Linked DNA regions of Sus scrofa. The protein of the gene in region 1 interacts with the protein of each later gene in a pairwise test. Links are inferred from orthologs where the notes say so. Each region holds a gene or a part of one and is shown in the gene's direction. Other genes may lie near its edges.

Evidence for each region.
Region 2: the proteins of SH2 domain-containing protein 4A-like (region 1) and CEP70 interact in binary tests that used the Homo sapiens proteins (3 or more experiments, as listed by UniProt). The link is inferred for Sus scrofa from reciprocal best matches to the Homo sapiens genes SH2D4A and CEP70.
Region 3: the proteins of SH2 domain-containing protein 4A-like (region 1) and GRB2 interact in binary tests that used the Homo sapiens proteins (3 or more experiments, as listed by UniProt). The link is inferred for Sus scrofa from reciprocal best matches to the Homo sapiens genes SH2D4A and GRB2.
Region 4: the proteins of SH2 domain-containing protein 4A-like (region 1) and NUTM1 interact in binary tests that used the Homo sapiens proteins (3 or more experiments, as listed by UniProt). The two-hybrid records come from large-scale screens. The link is inferred for Sus scrofa from reciprocal best matches to the Homo sapiens genes SH2D4A and NUTM1.
Region 5: the proteins of SH2 domain-containing protein 4A-like (region 1) and RINT1 interact in binary tests that used the Homo sapiens proteins (3 or more experiments, as listed by UniProt). The two-hybrid records come from large-scale screens. The link is inferred for Sus scrofa from reciprocal best matches to the Homo sapiens genes SH2D4A and RINT1.
Region 6: the proteins of SH2 domain-containing protein 4A-like (region 1) and MTUS2 interact in binary tests that used the Homo sapiens proteins (3 or more experiments, as listed by UniProt). The two-hybrid records come from large-scale screens. The link is inferred for Sus scrofa from reciprocal best matches to the Homo sapiens genes SH2D4A and MTUS2.
Region 7: the proteins of SH2 domain-containing protein 4A-like (region 1) and DBNL interact in binary tests that used the Homo sapiens proteins (3 or more experiments, as listed by UniProt). The two-hybrid records come from large-scale screens. The link is inferred for Sus scrofa from reciprocal best matches to the Homo sapiens genes SH2D4A and DBNL.

What each region holds. Positions count from the first base shown.
Region 1 is NW_018084867.1:67,350-71,571, reverse strand, and holds the start of SH2 domain-containing protein 4A-like, read left to right. Parts: upstream 1-1,422; 5' UTR 1,423-1,545; intron 1,546-1,718; exon of another isoform or gene 1,719-1,773; intron 1,774-4,222. UniProt on the Homo sapiens protein: Inhibits estrogen-induced cell proliferation by competing with PLCG for binding to ESR1, blocking the effect of estrogen on PLCG and repressing estrogen-induced proliferation. May play a role in T-cell development and function.
Region 2 is NC_010455.5:79,384,141-79,388,396, reverse strand, and holds the start of CEP70 (centrosomal protein of 70 kDa), read left to right. Parts: upstream 1-1,456; 5' UTR 1,457-1,613; intron 1,614-3,502; 5' UTR 3,503-3,596; coding exon 3,597-3,605; intron 3,606-4,256.
Region 3 is NC_010454.4:5,939,234-5,943,522, forward strand, and holds the start of GRB2 (growth factor receptor-bound protein 2), read left to right. Parts: upstream 1-1,489; 5' UTR 1,490-1,620; intron 1,621-4,289. UniProt on the Homo sapiens protein: Non-enzymatic adapter protein that plays a pivotal role in precisely regulated signaling cascades from cell surface receptors to cellular responses, including signaling transduction and gene expression.
Region 4 is NC_010449.5:80,156,698-80,160,781, reverse strand, and holds the start of NUTM1 (NUT family member 1), read left to right. Parts: upstream 1-1,284; 5' UTR 1,285-1,321; coding exon 1,322-1,463; intron 1,464-3,214; coding exon 3,215-3,923; intron 3,924-4,084. UniProt on the Homo sapiens protein: Plays a role in the regulation of proliferation. Regulates TERT expression by modulating SP1 binding to TERT promoter binding sites.
Region 5 is NC_010451.4:105,423,853-105,427,275, forward strand, and holds part of RINT1 (RAD50-interacting protein 1), read left to right. Parts: intron 1-555; exon of another isoform or gene 556-1,112; coding exon 1,113-1,293; exon of another isoform or gene 1,294-1,366; coding exon 1,367-1,485; exon of another isoform or gene 1,486-1,723; intron 1,724-2,418; exon of another isoform or gene 2,419-2,571; coding exon 2,572-2,764; 3' UTR 2,765-2,905; coding exon of another isoform or gene 2,906-2,942; 3' UTR 2,943-3,423. Other genes in the region: EF-hand calcium-binding domain-containing protein 10, read right to left, coding at 2,906-2,942. UniProt on the Homo sapiens protein: Involved in regulation of membrane traffic between the Golgi and the endoplasmic reticulum (ER); the function is proposed to depend on its association in the NRZ complex which is believed to play a role in SNARE assembly at the ER.
Region 6 is NC_010453.5:6,202,815-6,206,314, forward strand, and holds part of MTUS2 (microtubule-associated tumor suppressor candidate 2), read left to right. Parts: intron 1-2,063; coding exon 2,064-2,304; intron 2,305-3,500. UniProt on the Homo sapiens protein: Binds microtubules. Together with MAPRE1 may target the microtubule depolymerase KIF2C to the plus-end of microtubules. May regulate the dynamics of microtubules at their growing distal tip.
Region 7 is NC_010460.4:48,712,835-48,715,673, reverse strand, and holds the end of DBNL (drebrin-like protein), read left to right. Parts: intron 1-171; coding exon 172-267; intron 268-365; coding exon 366-484; intron 485-669; coding exon 670-766; intron 767-1,222; coding exon 1,223-1,362; 3' UTR 1,363-2,339; downstream 2,340-2,839. UniProt on the Homo sapiens protein: Adapter protein that binds F-actin and DNM1, and thereby plays a role in receptor-mediated endocytosis.

The sequences.
Region 1 (4,222 bases):
GTGACACCCATCCTATGTGTCTCTGACTCACCAAGGACCAGCAGGAAGCAGAGGCTCAGCCCCTGTCTCCTGCCAAGGGCCCGTGGCCCAGACCTACTCTCTGTAGGAGTGTTGCTGCCATGTGAAGGCGACAGTCCTCCACAACGCATTGCAGATGCCAGAGTCGGAAATGTTTCCACTGAGAGCATGGCCCAAAGGGCAGAAAATAATTCAGGGCCTCGTAATTACATAACAGAGCCCCTTGATGTTTTTTGGAGCAATTTTACCATGTGGAGCATTTGAACTGTAACACATCCTGCATACCTATTGTGTGTCTGGGTGTTGGGTAGGATTCAAACCTTCCTGGGGTAGATTAGTCCTTACTTGATGTTTATGATTTCAAAGAGGTATAAAACATAGAGCTGCTGTAGCAGGCAGTGCTGCAGGGAGGATGGCAATGCAGGCCCTGGCCATCTGTTCCCTGCAGGCCCCCAGTGTCACCACTGGCCTGGCTCCTGGCAAGTGTTCATTAAATGGTTCTCAGATGTGTTAAATGCTCACTTTACAGTTCTTCCACTGCCCATGCAAGAAGTGTTAGGCTTCCTTCAGAGCTGGCCACAGCAGCGAGCCAGGGCCAAATGACACTCCAGCCAGAAAGACCCTAAGGGGCCATTCATTTAATAAGCAGTGGAACCAAACTGAACCAGGAATTCTCCCCAGATAGGATCTCCAGAATAGCCTTTAAATAGCTAGGCAGGAGGACTGACCTCTACCCCAAGGCTCTAACTTCTGTAGTACGGGAAGCCTAGAAATGGGAAGGTTTCATTCTGAAGGAGCAAGTCAGGCAGGCTGCGTGGAAGAGGACCACATCGCAGTCTATAACCTCTCTCCCTGACACCTGCACCATGGGGTCACCAAAGCAGGCTGTTTGCCGCACACATTCTGAACGTTTCCTCTAGAAGGAACATGCCCCCCCAATGTTTCCACGCTGCTTCTACTGAACTTTCCTCCCAGATTTCCTTTTCCCTCCTCGGCCAGCTCCTCCTCCTTCAGCAACCACCCCAACCTGACTTGGCCGCTGCTCTCAGCATTCCTTTTCTTCTGCCCTTCTCTTTGGATTTCTTTCATTTTCTCTCCCCGTCCCCGCTGTCTCCAGTCTCCATCTTTCCAGCTGTTCTCCTCTTTGGTCCTGTCCTCCTACAAAGCCACACCCCTCCGGACAAGTGCCCAAGAGTTTGGTAATTTTCTCAAAGTCAACAACAACAACAACAACAACAACAAAAAGTGAGCTCCAGAGGCGCCAGAACAGAAGTTCAGCCCGCGGAGCGAAGAAAGGCCCGCCCGCCGCCGGCTCAGGCCCCACCTGCCAGGAAGCCTGGTGCCTGGCCGGGATCTCACCACCGTCCGCAGGACGCGCGCGGCGGGACCAGCCCCGGTGCCGCAGGTTCGAACGGACGGGCGGGCTGGGGACGCGCTTGGCTCATGTCGCGGCCGCGTGTCTGTGCAGCCGACTGCTCCTTCTCCTCCCTCGGCACCCGATCAGGCGGCCCAGCCCCGCGCAGGCAGGTGCGGGCCGGGAGGGGCCAGATGCGGCCAGTGAGTGCGGGCGAGCGGGCGGGCGGCGGGGGTGGATGTCCCCGTGGGTTCTGGTCCCGCTGGCGCGCGGCGCGTTCCTCCGCCGGGGGGTCAGGTGCTGGCGGGGCGGGCGGGCGAGTGTCCGGTGTCGGTGTCCGGTGTCGCTGCACCGGCGGGAGAGCAGAGGCGCTGAGGGCCGGCCGGCGGTCGTGGTGAGGGGTACGCGGGCGGCGGGGCGCGCGGGAAGCTCCTGCTGCAGGCGGCCGCGTCCCCCGAGGGGCGCGAGCGGGGCTGCCAGGGAGGAAGCGTGCAGAAGGCCGGCAGTGGCCCGTGGGGGTCGCGGGCGGAGGGAAAGGCCGGGTCTGAGGGCGCTTTCTGCCTTTGAGGGTGCGGGGTGGGGCCCAGGGTGGGCGCGCAGGGCCCAGGGTGGGCGCGCCGCCCCCCGGAAGGCGGACCAGACTGTGGCCGCAGGTGGCCTGGCCGTGACCTTTCCCTGCTCTCTCCCGCCCTCTGGTTCACGCGGGCTCCCCAGAGGTGGCATGAGGGGCAGCGAAGAGGGCAAAACTGTGCAGGTTTGCTCAGAATTGTCTTACCCTCCCAAGAGTCACTGGAAGAGCAAGTGAACTCCCCTCCTCTCTTTCTAAACTTGGAGTCTGCTCACCTCCTAAAAGGCTTTGTTTGATTGCCTGTTTAATAGAAATGACTTGGGATACAATCATTATTTTAAGTGAATAAGTGAGTGAAGGCCTATCCCAGGTACAGATTTGGCATGTGAGAGGAATTTCTGGAGAAATTCACGTACAGCGATTTTTAAATACCTGAAGAATGGTATGTATTTATCAAATTTACCAAACTGCTGTCACCCATGGTAATTTGTTTTATCCTCAAAAATAGCCCTTTTGCAGATAGATTAACAAGGTAAAGTTGAGTAAGAGCATGGAAAGTCTGGAAACAGGGCTTTTTAAAAAGAATTAGAATTCAAACTATGTTTTTAACATTAAAGTACACTGTCCATATTACAATATTTTTATGATTTAGGCGTATCTCTGGTAAAGTAAGATCTCAGAGTCATTCAAAATACAATTCTTGGAGTTCCTGTTGTGGCTCAGTGGTTAAGAACCTGACATAGTGTCCACAGGAGACGGGTTGGATCCCTGGCCTTGCTCAGTGGTTAAGTGAGGATCCTGCATTGCTGCTGCAGCAGCATGGATTGCAGATGCAGCTCTGATTAGACCCCTAGCCTGGCAACTTCCAAATGCCGCCGGTGCAGCTATAAAAAATACCAAAAAATATAATTACTGTTTATAAAACAGTGGCTCTGGGAAATATGGGTGCCATGACCCTTTGAATTTTTGGAAAAAAAATAGCAGATGTGGACTCTTTGCTTGTTGTCATTTCTGTGTTTTAAGAATAGTGCTGCTCAGGAGGAAAAGAGTTAGCTGAGTTTTCCTTTCTACTGGATCTTAAATAACTGGGTAGCACTCAATGAATTGGATACGGAAGTTACCTGTGTTTGATCGTATCAAGCACTGATTGTCAGGGAAACCAGGGGAAACCCCTGGTTGGTTAATTTCCTTGTTTCTGTTTCCGCTGACCCAGCCCCACTTGCGTCTGGAACTCCGCACTATAATGTAGTGTATTCCTAAGATGACAAAGATTCAAGTTCAGGCTCATTTCGTGGCAAGGAGACTGAGTCCGAGGAAGGGAAGTGACAACGCAAACATCCACAGCTCAGGAGAGGCAGAGCTGTGAGCCGAGAGCTTCCTGTGCTGTGTTTGAGGAAGGAGTTCCGTTCACGCTGGTGGGTGTTCACAGCCTCCGAGTGGCATGCATATTATTCAGCCTCACCCCACAGAAAGGTTGTAAACTATGTTCCCAAGTTTCCCCTGAGGACAGGGGGAGGCCAGTGTCTTTCCTTCAAGATCCACTTTAACGTCAAAAATCTATTTGTTGCAAAAGGCAAAACGGCACAAAATCGCAGCTGTGAGGTCTTGACTGTGTCCCTTCCTGCCATCCTTCTGCCCCCTGCCCCCAGTGCTGCTCTTGGGGGTGGTAGGAGGGGGACTGAGGAGGCTCAATACTCAGTGACTGACTGGGCATCAGTATCTGCGCCTGCGCCAACATGACGTCACTTCCCGCCATCTTTCCGGGGTGAGGGCTTTTCAATGCCCAGCGTCCCCAAAGCCCACCTGCAGTTACAGAGATGAGGCTTCTGCCTCCCAAGAAGGACCCTGCCTCATGTACCTTCGGTTCACCGTTTCCGCTGCCTCTAGAATTTGCTGGTTTTCATTCTGAAACTTCACCCGTGGGGCCTCATCCTGATGATGTTCTGATTCTGGGCTCACGGAGAAAACCTCCTGCAGTGACGTGGAGCCAAACCGCCCAGTGCCGCCCCTTTCCATCTTCTGTGAAATGGGCAGAGGGAGGGACTGAACACCAAGGTTATGGTGAAGGTTCATAAGTTACTGCATGTGCAGGGCTCAAGGTGGTGGCTGCCCAGCAGGAGTCAGCGCTTGTCACCAGTGCTGGAGGGAGGGGGCGCTGTGAAGGTGGCACGTGCCAAGTTGTAGTTTTTAGGCTCTCCCCACACCGTCGGTGTTGCTGTCACCCAATTCAAAATGGGGAACAGAGTAGAAGTTTCCAGCTTCCCTGAGCAGCTCCTTCTCCA
Region 2 (4,256 bases), on another chromosome or scaffold:
CTTCATCTTTTGACTATTTGGAAACTACGGGTTGTCAACAGCGACACCGTGTGGCTATAAGATGCAATGACAATGGCCGCCAGACCTTCGCCTTAGGTATGTGGCAGCTGGATTTTCCCCTGAGAATTTTTGGGTCACTTAACCAGCTATGAATTTTTGAAAATTTTGGGCAGGGGCCCTATTTGTAGATGATGAATTTATTAAAGTGATAAATAGAGGATTTAGTTGATTTCTTTTTGTGGGAAAAAAGATCAGTGATCATATTTGTGCACTGTGGAGACTTTTTTTTTTAAACCCAGTTTTGTAAATAGTTTTTACTGGTTTACTATATAACACATATATAGTTTTTACATATATATAAAACAAATTATGCATGAAAGCTGTGTTTGAAGATACCCAAATTAAACCCTTTCCATTTTATATTCCATTTGAAAATTGATCTATGTTTCCCCATCATCTCCAAGATAAAGTCCCAGCTCTTCAGCACATTTGCTAAGACCTTCCTCTTATTCTCCAATATGCAACACACTCCTTAGCTTCCTTAAGAAGCCCATTATATTTGCCAATGTTTTGGGAGCTAGGCTTTTGGGGAGGGCAGATATGACCTGTACCAAGGAGCTCAGGTTTAATTACAGAAAAAAAAAAAAGTGAGATTTACTGAGCACTTGTGAGCTAGGCATTGTAATAAAGTGGTTTGGAGTTATTAATTTGCACATGAGGTTTCTCCAAATACCTTCTCCTATCTGTATTACTGGGGAAATAATTCCAAATCATTCTTATGCATATTTCTAGGTTTGTAGTTTTCTGCCTTGGAAATCACCTATTGAAGCTGGGGTTCCGCCCTGCAGATTCTGATTTAATTTGTTTTGGGCTTGAGCATCATTTTCGAAGCTCCTCAGGTGATTCTAATATACAGCTGGGGTGAAGACTTTAGCGACGGATGTAAATAATCTTTCTTTCCCTTCCGTGCCCTGCATACCTTTCCTGATCATGTCTTATCACATTGCACCTTCTTTTCAGGGTGTATATCTAGCTCCCTAACTAGCCTCTGAATATCCCCAGTCAGCCACTTTTGCATTTCTGGAACGCGATTTATGGCCTGACATTTGGCGGAAATTTGGCAAATGCTGAATGGGAAGGTAAAATGTCCTCAAGACATACTTATTTCCGTGTGTGTGTGTGTGTGTGTGTGTGTGTGTGTGTGTGTGTGTGTACGCACGCGCTCGCGCGCCGACCGCCTCAAATGTGGATTTCTGAAGTTTTCCTGGCAAATGAGGACCCAGGTAAGCGAACAGCAGTTGCGAGGAGAAGGGGTCCAGCAGCTGTGGAGCACAGACGGCAAAGCCGCAACAGCAAACTATCGCTCACTTTAATGGTAAGCCCCGCCCCCAGCAGCAGAGCCAACCAGAGGGCACGGAGCAATCCCAGCCTTCCTGGGCGGTCTGAGAAAGTCGCTAGGGCTTTCAGAGCCGGAGCAGAATCGGGCTCGTCGATGAGCTCGGGCTCGATTGGCTGGCCTCCCACGGTGGAGTAACGGTCGTAGAGGCGGGGCGGGAGGCGGCTGAGCCGGCCGGGCTGGGCGAGCTGCTGTAGAGAGGCGGCAGCTGAGGAAGGTAAGCGGCCTTCGGGGTTCACAGAGGCTTTGCCTGGAGCCCCTGCTTGAGCTTCCACCGGAAATGGTCTCGTCTGCGCAATGCGAGTGGTCATACTGACCCTTACTGGGGTCCCCAGAGAGGAGCTGCCTGGGACGGGTTGGCGCCAGTTAAAAATCCCTGGATAAGGAGTTTGGGGGCGGGTGGGGGGAACCTGATCGACCTGGTCCTAGTCCTGGCTCCTCGCCCCTTGTGATCTTTGGCTCCTCATTTAACATCTCAGCGCATCAGTTTCTTCAGTTGTAGACGACAGCTGGTAAATCTTTCCTTACAAGGTGGTTGAGAAGGTTAATTGAGGTAGTGAGTGTGAAGCTTGGACGGATACCTGGCGCAGCCTGGATTCTGGATAGTTGTTGGTAGTTACTCCGTCCCCATGCGCTGGCCGGGGGGTCTCGCCCCACGTTTCAGAATCTAGGTGCCTGGGAAGGTAACTTGGCGAGTGAAGGCTCGTAGCAGAAGGTGGGGGATACACAAAGGGGTAGGTGAGTAATCCCTTCTCTGGTTTAAGTAATCTTTGCAGAGTTGGAGAGTCTCTTTATGTGGAATCTAATATGATTTTATTAAGAAAATCAGTGAGATGGAAATGTTGAAATGTAGAAGGGTTTCTGTACCACTTTATTTTCTATACATAATAATGGTAAAGACTGTGCGGGCATTACCTCTTTTGGCCTCAATCTTCTTCTGCATGAGGTTTTGTTTTGTTTTTACTTTTGGTATTGTCAAGTAGACCCGGGCCTTCCCCACCTCACCTTGGGAAAAAGGTGGCTGGCTGGCTAGGGTTTTGCCCGCAGCTTCTGCTTAGTGGCCTATTCTAACCTTTTATGTAACCTCTCCTGGGGCAGGATGATTTAATCGAGGTAAGATCCGATCCTAATTCTGTTTCCTTAGATTCGCTTCTTAGGAACGTTAAACAGTGTATTGGTATATTTTTGGGATGGCGCTTTTGCATTTAACAGACAATAGAGACTTTGAAAGCATTGCACATTCCATTTATTGCAGTAAAGTGAAATATGTGCTTTTGAGAAAGCTAATTACAGGTTTTGAGGTGACTCAAAAAAGAACAGCTACCAGCCATGCTTTATTCCCAGCTTGTCCCCAAAAAAGTAGTGAAAAGCAACTACATTTTAATGTATGGGGCATGAGCCAGGGGCTCCAAACCTATAAGGGGTAAGTTACCAAAGGGCTCTTGGGAAACCTAGACAGTGCAAACAGAACTATGTTTGGCTTCTCTGTGCTTGGTTTTCTGTGGTGTGTATGAACCAACTCCTACCCCGCAACTCCTTTTCCCACAGTTTTACTTTAGGTATCTTATGACACTGCTTAAAGCAAGCCACACCATCTGCTTTGGTCCTGGGAAGCACTGGGTCTCTTCTGGTGACTCACAGACCTGTGTCCTGGCATAGCCCGTAGTGGGGAAAATGCTGCTGCAAACTATCTGTAACATTAATTTCACAGCATAGACCTCTGAAAAGAAGGGCTTTGTCACAGGTGAAATTGATAGTTGTTCTCCTTGTCTTTGTGTTTCAGTACCAGTTGTCTGAGAGTACCCTTGCCAATGAGAATATTGTTTGAATACCTTTGAAGTCAGAATCAGATTTGATGCTAGATGATAATAGAGTTGGGCTCTCAGGTATATGTTTCAACAAAACAAAGAAAGACAAGGGGAGAGAAGGCAAGGGTGAAGGCACGTGGTGGTGAGCACTGGAGTCCATTAGCAGTTGATTCAGTAGATGCAGCTCCCTGTAGTCAGTCATTAACACCAAGAATACCTGCTCTGAGGATAACACAAATCATTCTTAATAGGAGATGAATGTTTAAGATGTGGGCCTGTTTATCTTTTTGAAACCTAGATGAAGATGCAGTTTCAGACGTGAGGCTCACTGGGTGATCATTTCATTCTGATCAACTTGAATGACCAGGTGAAAAGTGTAAGAGGAACGTGCTATGACTGAGGTATGTCTGACGCAATAAATAACTCCCTCTGGATGTTGAGAGGCTGTGGAAAGGATCTACTAATTATGGAATACTATGTATTTATTTCCTTTTGACCTCTTCATAATCCTATCAGATATTTTAAACCCAATCAAGGAAACTGAAGAGGTTAAGTAACTATTTAAGATAGTACAAGTAGCTGGTCACCAACTCTGATCACCACCTGTCTTGCTGTGTGCCAGGCACTGTTCCTTTTGCTTTTATTGTTATTTAACAAAATGTTTTTATTAAAAAATGACTTTTTATTATGAAATCAAACAGAAAAGAACACATATACCAAATGTATAGCTTAATGAATTATTAAAATCTGATACCACCCAGGGTAGGGTGGAGAACTATGCTAGCTAGCCATGCCAAGAATTTGCTTATCCCAATCACAACTGCTTTTGTCCTCTCATTAGTAGCTATTTTTCTGACTTTTATACTAGTCGCCTCCTTGTGTTAGTTTTTTCATAAATCCATATTCTTTGACACTATAATGTAGTCTTGCTCACTAAAATTTTTAAAAAATCTCTTGTAGATTGTTTCCCTATTCCTTTCTTTTCCTTATAATTTATCTAATGAAGAACTTGGTCATTTGACCTATATGTCCTATAGTCTGGATTTTGCAGA
Region 3 (4,289 bases), on another chromosome or scaffold:
AATACTTGGTGAAAGAATAATTCATACTCTTTATTTCAACGGGCTTGTTTTCTTCAGGGAATCATGTTTTGTTTTGTTTGTCTTTTTGGCCTTTCTAGGGCCCAGGCTAGGGGTCCAATCAGAGCTGTAGCTGCCGGCCTACGCCAGAACCACAGCAATGCGGGATCTGAGCCGCGTCTGCGACCTACACCACAGCTCACGACAACGCCAGATCCCCAACCCACTGAGCAAGGCCAGGGATCGAACCCGCAGCCTCATGGTTCCTAGTCAGATTCATTCACCACTGTGCCAGGACAGGAACTCCCACGTTTCTTAATTTTTATATCTTGCTCTTTTGGTGGCTTCCGGAATTCACATCACCGTCAGATGCTCTGTTCTCTCCTTTGATTGGGACTGAAAAATAAGAGTTACTCCTCCAAGCCTCATCTTCTGCCACTACCAGGTAACTCACCCCGCCTCATACAGGAATCAAACTACTTCGCGTTGCAGGGAACACGATGCCCACGCCTCCGTTCCCTCGTACGTGCGTGCTGTTCCCTTTGCCTGGAATGCCCTTGCAATGGCTTCTCTGGCAAACTCCTACTCATCCTCCAAGACAGCTCAGATAACGCCACAGCGTTCTCCGAGAACGCTTTTCTGAGATGGGAGGAGCGGCGACCCCTCGCCTCTCCTCAGCCTTCTCCAAATAATTCTGACCGTACTTATGGTATTATTTGTTCTTTCCCTCCTATAGATCTTGAATTCGTTTCTGTGCAGAAAGGGCCCGGATTTCTGTTCTTAGTTGGACCCTCTATACTTGACACAGTGCTTAGAATGTACTAGGCACTTGGTTCAATCGATGAGCGAACGAATATGTTCATTCACCTAACGCAGCAGAGTTTGTTTGGACCAGATTCTCAAATATTTCCAGACCTGATCCTCTATTTGGCTTGCTTCACGTGGGAGGGAGATTCCCCCCCAACCCCGCCAAACTGGGTTGGTGGAAGGGGAAAACGAAGTGATTAGGGTGTGCATAAAAGTCCTTTCTTGGCTGGGGGAAAAATGTAATTGTAATGTATACATGTAAGGATAACCTGACCCCCTTGCTGTACAGTGGAGAAATAAAAAAAAAATAAGTTGATATCGGCCATCAAAAGTAATATGACAATTGAATCATGCAAATGTGGGGCATAAAAAAAAAAAAGTCCTTTCTTTCGGAGGTGAGTTGTAATTGACCCGCTCTGGCACCGAAAGGGTTACGGCGACCCAGGGGTGGAGCCCTGTCGGTGCCACCTGCTGCGGGGCGGCCTGGCGCCTGCGCTCTGGCCTGTAGCTGATCTACCTGCGGGGGGCCTGGCGGAGGAGGAGCGCTTGCGCTCTGGGCCTTTTCCGCCGGGGGAAGTCTCGCGGGGGCGGGGCGGGGCGGGGCCGCACAGGGAAGTTCTCGCGGGACCCCGACCAGGAGCGGAAGCGAGGCGGCTGTGCTGCTTCAGCTACCGGACCGCGGCGGCGACGACGAAGACTGTGGCGGTGACGGCGGCGAGAATAGGCGCTGCCCTCGGGGAGCAGCAGAGGGGTCTGCGGCCGCTCGCACCGCTGCAGAGGGGCCGGCCGGGCGTGGAGCGGAGCAGCTGCGCCACGGTGAGTGTGGCTGGCGGCGACGGCGCTGCTCGCGTGCTGCTTCCTCCCCGCTTCGTCGCGGGAGTCGGCCCCGGGGGACCGGGCCCAGGGTACCGTGGGCTGCCGGGCCTGGGGGTCGGGAGTGCGAGGCTCCGGGCGGGGAGCGGAGCGCCCGGGCTCCGGGCTCCATGTTTCCCCTTTTGGGGCGCTTCCTTCCCGGGGACCGTCCTCTCAGTACCCTTGGCTTGGAACAGAGCCCTGGACGAGAGGCTGGGGGCTCCTGATTTAATTTTATGCTTTCTTCGTGAAGGTTTGCACAGGGGGGACCCGGAGAAGCCCGAGAACACAGGGTAATCATTCTGTGAGTCAGTGTGACTTGGCCCGGGAGGCGGGGGATTCGAGGCGGGTTGCAAATATGGTGATTGATGCTCCTTCGACCTATACGGCCACCACGTCACCAACTCCTGGTGTTTGGGGGCCGAATTTTGGGAGGAAACCCACCAACCCTATTAATACTGTGAGCGAGGACGTTTGTTACCGGAGCCAGTAGAAATACCTTTACTTTTATTGCGCTTTTTTTTTTTTTTTGACTGCTTCCCTAAAAACATTTGTTAAGAAAAGTAAGCAGCAGTTAATCGGAATGCTCCGAAGAAAGATTTCCGTGATCGAGGGCAGAGAATCGCTGGCACTTTTCATTTGCAGCTCTCTCTGTGTATAGGATTGTAAAGCCATGCTAGTTAACAGCTTATTTAGGGAGTTCACCTAGGCTGGCTTCAGATGCAGCAAAAGTATACTTTGCAGAAGAGCCGAAGTGCCCTCGCGGGTTCTGTCTTTTGCTACTCTTGAGTCTCAGAAGAGGGTGGAAAAGAAAGGCGCACTAGAGAAATTCGCTTTAGTCTTCTGGGCTTTCTAGTCCCTCTGTTCACTTTGCACTCCACAGTTGCTGCCTTTCTAAACTTCTCCCTTGTCTTCTGCGGCCACGAAATGCTTACTCCGTATAATGCAAGTCACTTGCCCCCTCCCCCCTTTTAGTCTAATCTACTTCCCCTTCCTCCTTATTGTCCCTTTTGGCATAATTTTTTGAGGTTTCTGCTCTTTCGCCCGTTCGTTTTTCTCCCTCATTTAAAGATTCCGTTTCTCTCCCGGAAAGATGATGCCCTCTTCCCTGCTTTATCCTTTGCTGTGAAGCGTCCACTGTGTTTCTTCAGTCAGCCAGAAGGGTTGCTAGAGAGCTGTGCGAGACTTAAGGTCTCCCCCTGGGAGCTGGGAGGCTCAAAGGATTGAGTTCAGCCGTAACCAATACTGCACTAATACTGCACTAGATCACAAGTGTAGCTTGCTGGTGTTTTTGTGTTTTAGTTGTTTTTTTTCACTTTTAGATCGCATTTTTGTGCCTGCTCAGGTTTTTCTATGTCTCTCTTATGTTAGTAAGGAAGATTGGGTCAATTTGGGGCTCATATGCCTTCTTTTTGGCTTTTAGCGGGGGAGGCGACTTAAAAAATGAAAACCAACCATAGACACCTATATTACAATCAAGAGAGCTTGAACCATTTAAGGGAATAGAATTTATTTAGACTACTGATGAATTAATTAAAGCTTGCCTGTTGGAGTAGTACTAACTTATTCTTTCCCAGGCTTTTAAAGATCAGGTGTCTCTTCCTGCATCTGCTATAAGCAGCCTTCTTTGTTATTGTTGCTGGGCTTGAGGGGGGAAGGCGGTTGACAGAAAGAAATAACTATGTTCTGTTGGCCTTTCCTTTGTTTAAAATGTTCTGAATCCCCCAAATTTAAAAAGGTTAATTCTTGTAATCAGCTTTGTTTGTTACTAAAAGCAAGCACTCAAATGCTTGAGGCAGTTTACTTCCTCAGCAAGTGTGTTCAGATTTGAGGGATTACTAGGTTTTTCAATACAACTAATTGATGGTACTTAGAGATTTTTCCCCGAAATTCTTGTTACCATGTTGCACATTGTGTAGCAACAGTTCTAATGGTTACTTAGAACAAAAAAGTAATAGATTTTGGAGAAATGAAGTAATACGGAATAGAGACCCACTATGGTTTCCTGAGAGAAATTAATAGTTATTCGCTTAATTCAGAAGACATTTCTGGCACTCCTGAATGACTATTGAGAGCCTTTGTTTTTTTTTTGTTTTTTGTTTTTTGTTTTTTTTTTGTCAAAGTTGGCTTTTTCACAGTTGTGCCAAGTGGATAGGCGTTATTTTCAATTTATGCAAAGACATTATGCATCATCTGAGATGTAAACTTTAAAATCTGGTAAAGATACCTTTACAGTACAGCATGATTTTTTAAATTTAGCATGCATAAGAATTACCTATGAATCTTAACTTAAAATTAGGTTCTGGAGTTCCCGTTGTGGCTCAGTGGTTAACAAACCTGCCTAGGATCCACGAGGACGAGGGTTCGATCCCTGGCCTCGCTCAGTGGGTTAAGGATCCAGTGTTGCTGTAAACTGTGGTGTAGGTCGCAGATGCGGCCCCATCCCACATTGCTGTGGCTGTGGTGTAGGCCAGCGGCTTCAGCTTCAATTCTTCCCCTAGCCTGGGAACTGCCATATGCCACAGGTGCAGCCCTAAAAAGACAGAAGACCAAAAAAAGAAAAAAAAAATTAGGTTTTGGGCCTAAGGCCACTGTGCTGCAGAACTTCAGAAGGCACCTCGTAGTGAATCAGT
Region 4 (4,084 bases), on another chromosome or scaffold:
GTGAGCTTCTATTACCTGGAGAAACCAGGGCTCCAGGACCCAGAACCCCTTTTACTTTAGGGAAGAAAGAAGAAGGTTTTCTTCCCTCCCCTCTTTTACATCCGGTTCCCTCGCCCTATTTCAAAGTATTGGCGGTAAAGAGTGCATGATGGGTATTCAATATTCTGTACAGCGAAAAGAGCGTGAAGTTATTTTATGAAACTGGTGAAGTATGTTTTAATGGTCGAACCAAGATTCAAACTCAAGTCTCTACCACAAATTCAACGCCCATTCTTATAGTGGTGAGTAGCTAATAAGACGCACCCCTTAGGGGTATTTCGAATTTTTAAAAGAACGTACAAATTCTCCTTATAGGACTTCTAGTTAAAGCAATGAATTTGGAACCGAGATATCTTTACGAAGGTGGCCGTTATTATTTATAACGGCAGAAACGTTGTAATATATATTAAGTTTATAACCAGAAAAAGCTGAAAGCTTTTTTAAAAAGAGTATAGTTTGTGTTTATTATAATTGCATAAAATACCTTTGCAAGGATTCAGAGGAAATTTGGTTTTCCCTGGGGTAAATAACTCGGTTCCAGAGGAAAGGAATGGTTGGAGACTTGTTATATTTCATTTTGCATAGTTTGACTTTTGAACCATGCTGACATATTACCATTTAAAAAATTAAGATTATTAACAAAAATTTTAAACAAAAATAACAAACAAAAAGAAGGACTTTTTGCTCTTGAAATTTTAGGCTGAATAGCAGTTTTTGATGGAATGGGAGGCTTTTCAGCCAGGGTTAAGGCTAAGCCTTCTGTGGACTGCAGAGCTGATGGTAGTGGACAGTTTGGGAACTGCAGCACAGCTTTCCAAGGAAATGATATGTATACAGCAATTCAATGCCCTTGATCTTCTAAGACAACCCTAATTTCAAACATTCTGTTCCCTTGATCCTTAAGTACACAGACTATGTGCTCTGAATTTGGTTCAGAAAATACAGCCAACACTGAATTAAGTCAAGGGTTTGCCAGAACCTGTTATTAATAGGAAGTCAGTTATAGAACTGGGTAGCATTGAAAGACAAAAACTAGATGTATTGGTGAAGAATTCTGTAGGGAACCAAGATGTGGTTGGGAATCCAGGAAAGAATCTGCAAGTTGCCCCAGAGAGGTGTGCAACAATTGTGTTGCCATACTCTGATTTGGAGGGAATTCCTGGTTACTGCCCACTTCCAGAGCCCTTTGTGGAATCTCTCCCTAACCCCACCCCATAATGCCACCTCCCCTCCCCCCCTGCAGAATGCCTTGGGTCCTAGATTCTAGTTCTGTTTTGATCTGATGTTTACCATTCCTTCCTTGGATCCCTGTGTATCTACTGGAGCCAGGTTACTCTCTGGGTGCTGGACCCACCGTGTCATTGTGAAGGCTTCCAGGCAGCCACGGTTAGTGCCCAAACCGGAGAGGATGGCTTCAGATGGAGGTGAGTCTGCAGGTGGGGGAGGTTGGGGAGAGTCTACCACCTGCTCACTTCTCGGAGATTCAACACTTGACGCTTCACCTGGGCTGACCTAGAGGGATGTGAGTGCACTAGACCCCCACCCAAGGCGTCACACTTGGGAAGGCTAGGGAAGGAGATTGTGGGAGCTGGAGTTCCCCAGTAGTGCAGCAGGTTAAGGATCCAGTGTTGTCATAATGTGGCTGGGGTCAAGTCCCTGCTGAGATGAGCTTATGATCCTTGGCCTCCCCTCCTCCCCTGGAGGGTGTGGCCAAAACAACAACAACAAAACTGGGGATTGGGGGAGGAAGAGAGCTTCCTGGGTGGCCAATCAAAGTGCCTCAGAGGAGAGTGCTGAGTAGAGAGAAGGGATGGCAGTTAGCAGCTTGCCTCTCTGGAAGAGGGACCCCTTCAACATGCTTCTGTATGGCAGGGGCAGGGGTATGCGTTGTACAAGGGGCACGAGTGTTTCAAAGGGGAGGCCCAAGTCGTGAGGTCTTCTTTAGGCAGCTGGAGCCTGCTCTGGGATTTTGCGCGGAGAGAACTGAGCTGAGGCTGCTCTCCATCTCATTGGGTAGGGGGAGATTGGAAGTCTTGGCTAGAAAACCGTTCAGTGGGGTCATCTGTTGCCAAGTCTGTAGGGAAATGTTCTCCAGGAAGCTAGACTAGAAGGTGCTGTAAGTGCCTCTGTTCAGAGCCTCCTGGATCTGCCTTTAGTTCAGGGTGTGGGTTTCCTTGCTGCCCCAGGGCCAGGGGTGGGAGGTCACTCAGCAGCGATGAGAACTGACACTTTCCAGAGGTGCTCTGTTTTTTTTCCACCTTTCGAGGAGCTCAGGCCTTCAGACCCATTTCATGGTGTTCTGTACTTTGGGGAATATTCCTGGCCCTCTGCTCTAGGCTTCAGGGGAAGTTTGCTGCTCTTCATCATCTCCTTCACGGTCAGGAAGCTGAGTGTTGTTAATTTGCCAGTGGAATATTCTTCATAAGAGGGGGAGGAGAGTAGCATGAAATTAGCCAGATGATCTTCTATTATTATCATTAAAAGTCTTAGGGACACATGTCCCAGTTAATTAAGTACATGTTTTACGTATTTATCCTTGGTTTCTTTGACTAGAGTCCTCCTAGCTCGTGCTCAGCAGGAACTGTGTTTCAGTCTTCGTTATCAGTGCCTTGTTCAAAAGTGGATCCTAAACTTCTGATACTGGGAGCTCCGAACAGAAAGATCACAGATAAAAGTACAACACGTCCAGCAGTTATTTAAAGCTCTGGAAACCTCCCTCTCCACACCGCCCTCCCCAATCCATTTCCTGGCCCTTATCTCTAGTCATTCCTTGCTGTTATGTAACAAATTTCTGGGAACCAAACATATAATCCACACACACACACACCCGCTCCTGGGAATAGTGCTTCTTTGAGTGGTGACAGGGGCCACAGAGCAGCTGGGAGCAGGGTTCAGGTGGTTTGAATGTGTTTGTAATGGGTGGGAATAAAAGATGTCCCTGGATGCTAGGTGGCATGTGTCATGGGGTATGAGCTTATGGTTCAGAGGTCATTGTCAATGGGGAGTAAGGGACAGAAACAGTTGGAGGACATTTGCAAACTATACAAGTTCCCCCTTCCTCACCTGTTGAGAATCAGTGGCCTGCTTCTTCAGGGACTAGAGTGGAACTCAGATGGACGTAACTGCTGGTCTCTTTTTCTCCTCCTCCATCCCCTCTTTTTCTTTGTCTCTACAGTGTCTCCATTGTCAGCACCGGACATGACCATGAAATCTGGCGCTGCCCTGTCTCCTTTCACAGCACTTCCCCTCCCCCAGCCTGCTCCTGGGCCACCAGACCAACCACCCTGGGAGCAGCCCTCACAGCCCCCGATGCATCCAGCATTCTCTTTAGGCAACCCCCTGGTGCTCTCTGCTTTCCCTAGTCCATTGCTGGTAACAGGGGATGGGGGCCCTGGCCCCAGTGGAGCTGGAGCTAGCAAGGTCATTGTCAAAGTCCAGACAGAAGGGGGGCCGGCTGAGCCCTCTCAAACTCAGAACTTTATCCTTACTCAGACTGCCCTCAATTGGATTGCCTCAGGTGCTCCCTGTGGGGGCCCTGAGTGTCCTGCCACCGGATTCCTGACAGCCTCCAACGTGAAGACCCTCCTGCCCACCAAGGCTATTGGAGTGAGCCAGGAGGGCCCACCAGGCCTTTCTGCTCAGGCTCCACTGCCAGCTGCCCAACTGGCCCCCATTGTACCCCCAGAAAAGGCTTGGCCAGGACCACGTGAGACAACTGGGGAAGGAGGTCCTCCAGCCGCCCGATCCAAGCCCTCTCTGGGTGACCTCTCCTATACCTCCAAGGGTGTTTATGAGAATTTCCGACGCTGGCAGCGCTACAAAGCCTTGGCACGGAGGCACTTATCCCAAAGTCCTGATGCAGAGGCCCTCTCCTGCTTTCTTATGTAAGTGCGGAGACCTGAGATTCATTATCCTAGAGGCTTTTCAAGAAGGAGGACTTGGGGATGGACAAAAGAGTTTAGGCTCTTTAGGAATACTTGAAGGAGGGCAGGTCCTGAGGGTGATAGAGATGTTATTGAGAATGAAAATAACAACAGCAGCAATG
Region 5 (3,423 bases), on another chromosome or scaffold:
AGGGTCCAGCCTTGCTTTAGTTGTGGCATAGGTGGAACTGTGCCTCGGATCTGATCCCTGGCCCAGGTACTTCATATGCTGTGGGGCGGCCAAAAAAGAAAAAGGAAATGACATATATAGTCAGATTTCCAAGGTGTCTAGGTAACACGGAGTTTGGCCTTTTGCAGTCCAAACTGTTTTTTTCCTTTTTGTTTTTTTTAAGGCCACACCTATAGCATATGGAAGTTCTGGGGCTAGGGTCAAATCATAGCTACAGCTGCCAGCCCATAGCAACACAGGATCTGAGCCGTGTCTGCGACCTGCACCACAGCTTGTGGCAACACCAGATCCTCTGAGGTAGGCCAGGGATTGAACCCACATCCTCTTGGATACTACTTGGATTCATTTCTGCTGCACTACAGTGGGAACTCCTTTTTATTCATTTATTTTTTATTAAAAAAATTTTTTTTCAGACATTCTTAATCAGAATAAACTGCTCGTAACTTAATCTTCAGGTATGTCTGTAAATACAGGGGGTGGGTGTAAGATATGAGGTTGAATGGCCTACCCTGTCACCCATTTTCAAAGCAAGGTACTTCCGAGTGCCTGTGCATGCTTGCACTATCCTTTAGTCCACTGTCACGATGCCCTGTGACGCCTGTTACCACTCTAGCCTGTGAGCCCCTTGAGAGCAAGCAGTGTCTGTCCCAGCACTGTCCTGACACAGAGCACTCGTTCCCAGTTTGAAAGTGTTTTTAGTCCCTGTTGTTTTGCTGAAAATAAGAGCATAAAATTAGCTGATATCTCAAATGTTAATGCATGTTGCATTTTAAGTGTTTTATATCAGTGAGTCCTATTGAAATTGGGGATTTAAAAAATTTATCATCCTTATTAAGTAAAAAGTATTTCATTAAGAACTAGTATACATATGAGAACTAGTGTAAACACAAGTACATTAACTTTCTAAGAGAGCTTTTAACGTTGGACTGTGCATTTTTTCTTATCCAAAATGCCACAGGACAGTGCACTTCCCCAAATTTAAAATGATTTGTAAAATCTTTAGAAATAGAGTGATGACAGATTTCATAATAAAAATTAATGTGCTTCAAGCAGCACTGTTCCTTTTTTTCTAGGTGGTTGTCCTTGCCGTCTCAGTCAGAGCAGGCGGTGATGTCCCTGTCCAGCTCGGCTTGCCCACTGCTGCTTACTCTACGAGACCGTTTACTTCAGTTGGAGCAGCAGCTTTGCTTCTCCTTATTTAAAATTTTCTGGCAGATGCTTGTAGAGAAGCTGGACATATACATCTACCAAGAAGTAAGTAAGAGCAGACTGTAATGGGGACTGTGGTGATAAAGGTGACTGCTATATGAATTGTTCCTTTTTTCAGATAATTCTTGCCAATCATTTCAATGAAGGAGGAGCGGCTCAGCTGCACTTTGACATGACTCGGAACCTTTTCCCTTTGTTTTCCCACTATTGCAAGAGACCAGAAAATTATTTTAAACAGTAAGCCTAATATTTAAAAATTAATTTTGATGTATCAAATTATTAGAGGAGGTTGATTCCTTTTTTTTTTTTAACACTTTAGGGTTCTAGCGATGTTAAATATATACAGCATCAATTAATAATTAAAAATGTGCATCTTGTGGTGCAGCAGGTTAAGGATCTGGCTTTGTCACTGCAGTGGTTCAGGTCGCTGCTTGTAGCTGGGTTCAGTTCTTGGCCCGGCAACTTCCATATGGTGCTGTCATGGCCAAAAAAAGAAAAAAAATGCATCATGTACCAATAATCTAAGCTGTGACCCATGGCCCCCAAAATGTTGGCCAGAACTGGATATAAATTGTATGTTGGGCTTTGTTTTCTAACATTTGGTTTAATGTTCCTATTTGCTTATTACTAAGAAATAAGTAGAAAATGAAAGTAGATGCAGTTCTGCCATATATGACAAATAGAAGAAATTTAAAATATGTTTAGTACTGAGTAATAGGCCAGGCCTGAATAAAATTTGTTTGCTTAAACATCTGATAAAATTTTGGCTAACTAAAAATATATTTAGGAAGTCTTAGGAGTATTTTTAGAAACTGTTGATGTAAATTTTAAATTATTTAGGAGGTTTTTGAGATTATGAAGTATTTCTTTTAAATATATAAAAAAGATTTTTTTAAATGATTTTTTTTGCTCATTTCAGTATCTATTTCTGCTTTTTCTGCTTTTTTGTTTTAATTTTATACTTTTCTGCTTTTATTTTATCCATTAATTTTCTCTTTTCCTATATCCTAATCCACCTAAAGTCTTATCCACATTTAATACGTTGTTAACATCAAGTATCATATTTTGGGAAGTAATGGATACATATTGAAGACAATGATCCTACTACCTAACAGTAATCTAATGAAACATAAATTCTATACAAATTACACATTAAAAGAGCCAAATAAATTAATCCATAAATAGTTTTTATAGAGGACATATGATCTAGTAGTGCAGGGAAACTGGTTTTTCAAAATGAAATTGTTACAGGATTATATGAATGATAAAGATAATGGAGATCTCATTTCCCTCCTTTTTTTTTTTTTTTTTTTTTTTAAACAGTGTAAAAGAAGCCTGTATTATTTTAAATTTGAATGTTGGTTCTGCTTTACTTCTGAGAGATGTCCTGCAGTCAACTTCAGGGCAGCCTCCTGCTGCAGCAGCATTAAATGAAGTTGGTATTTATAAACTGGCTCAACAAGATGTTGAGATTCTCCTTAATTTGAGAACAAACTGGCCTAACACTGGAAAATAAAGTGTCTTTATGTTTTGGGATTTTTTTCTGTTTGAACAAAGAGCAAGCCAGTTGGATTTCAAATTGTATGATCAAGTTCGGAATTGAGGAAACTGGACAACTGAAGAATGAATCATTTATCATCGTGGACTTACAATGTTATTAAAATGCTGACCATATTTCCAGAGTCCTCTTGTTCCTAAGAAAAGAAAAATTTCACAAGCCATGAAAACTGAAGAGTAATTCCATTTACAAATATAAATGATGACTATGTTTACTGAAGAAAATACAAGAGCAGAGATAATAAATTATAAATGACTTTTAATTTCCTATGCCAATTAAGGGAGACTATTGTAGGTAATCTAACATAGCAAATAGATTTTTTTTTTTTTGGTCTCTTTAGGGCTACACCTACAGCATATGGAGGTTCCCAGGCTAGGGGTTGAATCAGAGCTGTAGCTGCTGGCCTACGCCATAGCCACAGCAATGCCAGATGTGAGTGGTGTCTGTGACCTACACCACAGCTCATGGCAATGTCACATCCTTAACCCACTGAGTGAAGCCAGGGATCAAACCCACGTTCCCGTGGATACTAGTTGGGCTCTGTAACCACCGAGCCATGAAGGGAACTCCCACAAATACATTTTTTAAAAAAAATCACTTTAAAATGTATTTTTATA
Region 6 (3,500 bases), on another chromosome or scaffold:
TGTGACTGCAGTGAATCCTGCTCTGTCCTGTCAATAGAGATGAAAGCAAAGCATGTGAAGCTTTTTGTAGACTCTCTTGTTTTATTAAAAGTGCACAGATGAGGCATCTGAGGCATACGTCTCACCTTTGTAAAGAATTTGTTATCTTACTAGAGACAAATTACCCAACAAAATGATAGACATTGAAGCTCTTGAAAACATTAAAGTTATTTTTGAATGACAGCGGGGTGGGTTTTTTTTTTTTTTTCTTTTTTTTTAGGGCTGTACCTGTGGCATTTGGAGGTTCCCAGGCTAGGGGTTGAATTGGAACTGCAGCAGCCAGCCTACACCACAGCCACAGCAATGCCAGATCCTTCACCCACTGAGCGAGGCCAGGGATTGAACCTGCGTCCTCATGGATGCTGGTCAGATTTATTTCTGCTGATCCACAATGGGAACTCCAACAGTGGGATGGATTTGACCCCTGGAGTCTGTCCGGTTTGAAAGAACAGAATCATTACTGACACAGAGGACACTGCAATCCTAAAATCTCAGCAGATGTAGGTTAGAAATGATACTGATTTCTTCATGGGAGCACCAGCTAAAAGCAATGAGCAATGACACCAAACATTTAGAAAGTAAAATTTAAAAAAAAATAGAGGAAATGTGAGTATAATAGAAAAGCCGAGGATTGATAGTAAGAGCGTAAGTAGAAAATGGTGAAAATTTTATCAGGCAGCAGATGTAGAATGTTCTTTCACAGGAATTGAATTTGCCGTGGCCTGAATTCCATCTATCTGCTCTAGCGATCATGCATATTTTATAATGTGATTATGATAAAACTTTAAAGGCCTCGTCTTTTGTTTCAATAATGTCAATTTGAGGAGAACTTTGTATCTCTTTCAACAGTCAAAGGGTATTAAATTAAGGGTTTATCGCTTCCACATCCGGGATTACAGCTTTACAGCCCCTATTAAAGAATATGGTTAAACGCCTGTGATTTCTGAAGAGATGGAGGTTTGACTAGTCGAATGCATTGTGATTTTAGAGCGGAGTTAATTAACATCTGTATCTTTTCAAATGTAGCCTCTGGCACTATGTTTTTTGTTTTTTTTTTAACTTAAAAGAAATAAGATTATTTCGTTCTCTTTTTACCGTGAAGAAACACTGATACTGTGAACAGGCTTGTGAGTACAGGATTGCCTATTTAAAAGGTAGCCATCAATAGTATCCTCATCCGCCCTGTGAACCACAGCAGACTGTCACATGGTGTCACGTGATTAAATTCAGGAAAGAAGGAAACACGATCCCTTTAGTTCCCAGAGGTTTGCTGATTTCAGCCCCTGCGCTAAATGCTGTTCTAGGTGCGATGCATTCAGCAGTCCTCACGCAAGACTCTGCCCCCAACTTCCATCCTGGTGAGACTTGCTCAAACATTCCTGCAGGCACCACCTTACTAGGAACGATAATCAGAGGTAGTTCACAGTCTCTCCTTTTTAATTATGGAAACAGAAGGTAGAGGCCTGAGCAAAGACGTCTTTGCATTAACTTCTCCATTCCTCCCAATAACCTTTTCTCCCTCATTAACCGTGCATAGTGTATTTCCTAAGTAGCCTAATAAAGACGTCACATCACCTGATAAAGTTCATCAACTTCACGGAAGACTAGGTCACTAGAAAAATTGTGCCTCTCCTCCTTAGCAATCATGGAACTTTCCGAATTCCATGAACATTTGCTAAATTCTCCTCTTGCATCATTGACAGTCTTTATTTATAGATTGACTTCTTGCACAAATTCCAATGGTTTGGGGGTGATCAAATTTAAAAATCTTATAGAGGGGGTTCTTTTTTCTCCCAGGGAAATATAGTTTCATAAAGTGTTAGAACCAGCATAGACCTAAGAGGGCATCCAGCCGTGGTCCACTTGGAGATGAAGACGCGGGGTCCAGTGAATGTAAGTGACGGGGGGTGGAGCGACTCGATGGTGCCCGGTGGTCATTGCTGGCGCCGTGGTGTCTGGACTGGGTTCAGCACTCGTCCTATGATGCTCGGGTCTCTGACTGAGCTTCTGGTCACTTATCGTAGGTTGCAGAACGCCCTGGAAAAGAGGAATTTTGTTCTCCTCCCTATACGCACTATGAAGTTCCTCCAACCTTCTATCGATCGGCCATGCTCCTTAAGCCCCAGTTGGGATTGGGCGCGATGTCACGTTTACCGTCTGCCAAGAGTCGGATCCTGATCGCAAGTCAGAGGTCTTCAGCGAGCGCCATCCACCCGCCAGGAACCCTAGCGACCGCTGCCGCTCTCTACAGTTCCGACCCTGCAGGTAACCAGGGCCACAAGGGCTGCTTTTTCCTGAAAGATTCATAAAGTGTTAGAACCAGCAGAGACCTAACCAGCATAAATCACGTAAAATGATGGTAACTAAGCATGAGTGCCTGTCCTGCCTTAGAAGATCCTTGTTCTGTTCTTCCATCTGGTTGTAGATACAGACAAGGCTCATCTCTCTGCACCTGTCATCCTCCACGTCACCTTAAAACAATGGCCCTTGTAACCACCACCTCACTTCCTGTATTTTCTCCCTTCTCTGATACATCCTATGGACTAGGGTTTAGAAATTTTTTTTTTTCTGTGAAGGGCCAGATAGTAAATATTTTAGGCTTTGGGGGCCATAATGGTCTGTGTTATAACTACTCAGCAAGGGAGTTCCCGTCGTGGCTCAGTGGTTAACGAATCTGACTAGGAACCATGAGGTTTTGGGTTCCATTCCTGGCCTCGCTCAGTGGATTAGGGACCCAGCGTTGCCATGAGCTGTGGTGTAGCTTGCAGATGTGGCTCGGATCCCACATTGCTGTGGCTGTGGCCCTAGGCCGGTGGCTACAGCTCTGATTAGACCCCTAGCCTGGGAACCTCCATATGCCGCAGGTGCAGCCCTAGAAAAGACAAAAAGACAGAAAAAAAACAAAAACAAAAACAAAACCAAACCAAAAAAACCCCTACTTAGCAAGAAAATAGCCATAGACAGAACGTGAATACATGCGTCCAGCTGTGTTTTCAATTTACAATTCAATTTACAAAACCAGATATAGGCAGGCCTTGGAGATGCTGTGGGTTCAGTTCTGGACCACACAGTGAAGCCGATGCTGCAGTAAAGGGAGTTTTGGCTTCGCAGTGCATTTAAAATTATGTCCACCCTGTAGTGTGGTCTGTTAAGTGTGCAGTAGCACCGTGTCTCACAGAACAATAGATATACCTTAATTAAAAACTACTAGGGACCTCTCTCAGAGTTCCCGTTGTGGCTCAGTGGTTGGCGAATCCGCCTAGGAACCATGAGGTTGCGGGTTCGATCCCTGACCTTCCTCAGTGGGTCAGGGATCCCGCGTTGCTGTGGCTGTAGTGTAGGCCGGCAGCTACAGCTCTGATTGGACCCGTAGCCTGGGAACCTCCATATGCCACAGCAGCGGCCCAAGAAATGGCAAAAAGACAAAATAAATAAATAAATAAATAAATAATAAATAAAAA
Region 7 (2,839 bases), on another chromosome or scaffold:
GTCATGCACCTGCTGCGGCTCCCCATTCACTCCCTGGGTGACAGCCGGTGGCCCAGAGCAGGTGCACCCTCCGGGCAGTACAGGGCACAGCGAAGCCAGAGGCTGCTTGGCCCGTCCCTGCTGCGGCGGTGTGATGCTGTGATATCCTGTGTGTTTACCACTGGTTTGCAGGCAAGCTGAGGAGCCCCTTCCTGCAGAAGCAGCTCACCCAGCCCGAGACCTCCCTCAGCAGAGAGTCAGCCCCTGCCGCCTCAAGGCCCGCGGCAGGCAAGACTCCCGGCTTCCCCGGGGGGAGGGAGGTGGGGAGGGGGTTGGATGCCCTCTCCCCTCCCCAGGGTCAGCGTGGGCTGTGTCTTCCCCAGCAGATCTCCACGAGGAGCCGGTGCCCAGCGCCCCTCCGTGTCCTGTGCAGGTGGAGGAGGAGGAGGAGGCTGTGTACGAGGAGCCCCCAGAGCAGGAGACCCTCTACGAGGAGCCTCCAATGGTGGGTTCCCTGTGGCGGGGCCAGGCTGTGAAGAGGCCCCAGGCGCAGAACTGCTCTCCTTGGCAGTTCGACGATGTGCCATGCCCCCCACCCCCCAAGTCTGTCTTGAGCCCTGGCCTTGGGCAGGGTCGACTCTGGGGTCACCAGGACCCCAGACCTCTCCTTTCTTTCCCATCCATGGGCAGGTGCAGCTGCAAGAGGCCAGTTCGGCACACGTTGACCACTACCCAGGGCTGAGTGGCAAAGGGCTCTGTGCCCGGGCCCTGTACGACTACCAGGCAGGTAACGTGCTATAGCCCAGCCGCCTTGAACCGTGGGGCCCAAGATCAGGAGGCAGGATTTGGGGCTCCCTTGGGGGAACGGCCCCAGGGGGTGTTGAAGTGAGGACGGGAGGGCGGGTGGGTGCCCAGGCCTCCCCATGTGCTCTGGGCGCCTACTTCGTCTCCACTGGGGTCGATCCCAGTTGCCTGCCTTGTTCTGGAGCCAGGGAGTGACCACAGAATTGGGCCAGGCCTGGATGCCAGTGTCCCTGCTGACCCAGGCGGGGGCCTCGGGGACAGGCGGCCCTGCAGCAGTGCGGTCTGGACTCCAGCCTTTCGCTGGAACCCCGGACCGAGGCAGACCCTGTAGCAAGGGTGTCCTGGGCGAAGGGCCACAGGAGTGGCATCAGGACAGGCTGGGGGCAGCCCCCAGGGTCCCAGAGTCCCCAGCAGGGCCTCTGGGCTCACCTCCTTGCAGCCGACGAGACCGAGATCTCCTTTGACCCTGAGAACCTCATCACGGGCATTGAAGTGATTGACGAAGGCTGGTGGCGCGGCTACGGGCCCGACGGCCACTTTGGCATGTTTCCTGCCAACTACGTGGAGCTCATTGAGTAAAGACCCCAGTTGCTGGCGAAGCGAAGGGCTGTCCGTCTCCACCCAGACGGGGTCTCCTGGTTGCTGGAAGAGGTGGCGCAAGGAGTGTGTGCGGTGCTTTTCCAGGAAGGGGACCCCTGATGCGGACGAGCCCTCGGGCTGCCTCTGGCTTGGGTGGCTCCGCCTCTGTTACCCCACATGCAGCAATAACCTGGTGATCTCCACATGTGCTTCCACCAGCTCCCCAGTCCTCCCAGACAGCCTGGCCCTTGACCCCCCTCAGCAGGGCACACTGAGCCAAGTCCTCCCCAGGGCCAGATCCCCAGGGACCTCTGCCCAAGAAGTACGGCACTGCTGTGCTGCGGGCTCTGAGCAGGGGCATCCGGAGGCCGCCTCCTGCATTTGCCTTCTCCTCCTTTCTCTCTTGGCTCTAAGGGTTGGTGGCGGTAGCTGTTAATGACCCTTGGGAACAGTGAACTGAAGAGTTTATGACCAAAGTTGGGGCAGGGATCCACGACAGTTTGGGCAGCAGGTGTTCGCTTTCTGAACTCTACCCTGTGCTCCCCACTTCTCTGCCCCTCTGCCTGGGTGGTGGGCGGTGGGCAGTGGAGATGGGACCGACCAGACCCCCATCTGTGTGTGCAAAGGAAGAGGTGAGAACATCAACAGACGACGTGGCCTTCCGCGTGGCTCACTCCTGTCTGCCGGCCCATGTGCTGCTCAGTCGATCTGGGTCAGGAACAGGTACCATGGTGGCCGGTCCTGCTGTCTGCCTTATTTCCGCCCCAGCCCACCCTTACCTGCTTTTGGAGTCAGAATTGCCCCACGCGGGCCCCAGCTCTGATCCATCCTGTTACAGCCTGAATCCCCCACCACCACCCCGTGGAAACAACCCCCTTTCTGGTGTTGGGGGTAGGGGTGGGTGAGTCACCTGTGCAGGCTGACCCCTGGCCAGTGTTAGCCACCCTGAAGGGGCATAAAGGTTAACGTGACTCAAATGAGCCTCCTGCATTTCAGTTCTGTGGGAGGGGCCGCCCTGATCCTTGCCATGGGGGGGCTTCCCCCCAAGCCAGGCACTTGCACCCCCTGGGCGTCTGGGGAATTGCAGCTGAGCTGCAGGCAGGCTGCTGCATGTCCTGGTTTCTTGGGGCTGGGACTCAGGCACCCCCTTGCCCTTCCCACCCTGGGGCTGCCAGGACAGCAGAGGATGACCGGTCCCAAGGCCACAGCGCGTGCTCGTTTTGAGGAGGGCTGGGTGCCTTGGGCTCTGCCCAGATGACCCCAGGCACTGATTAGGTCAGGGTCACCAGACCAGGTGGCTCTTCAACTTTCCGGGCTTGTCAGGAGCCACCTGATAACCAGAGAGCCTGGTCCCCAAGGTCCCCACCCCCAGTGGGGGTGGGCTGGGTGCGGCGTGGGGGCCTGAGGCCACGGGTGTGAGGCTCCCAGGCTCCGGGCCTGTGGAGCAACCCCCGAGGGAGTGCTGGGGAGTGGGCCT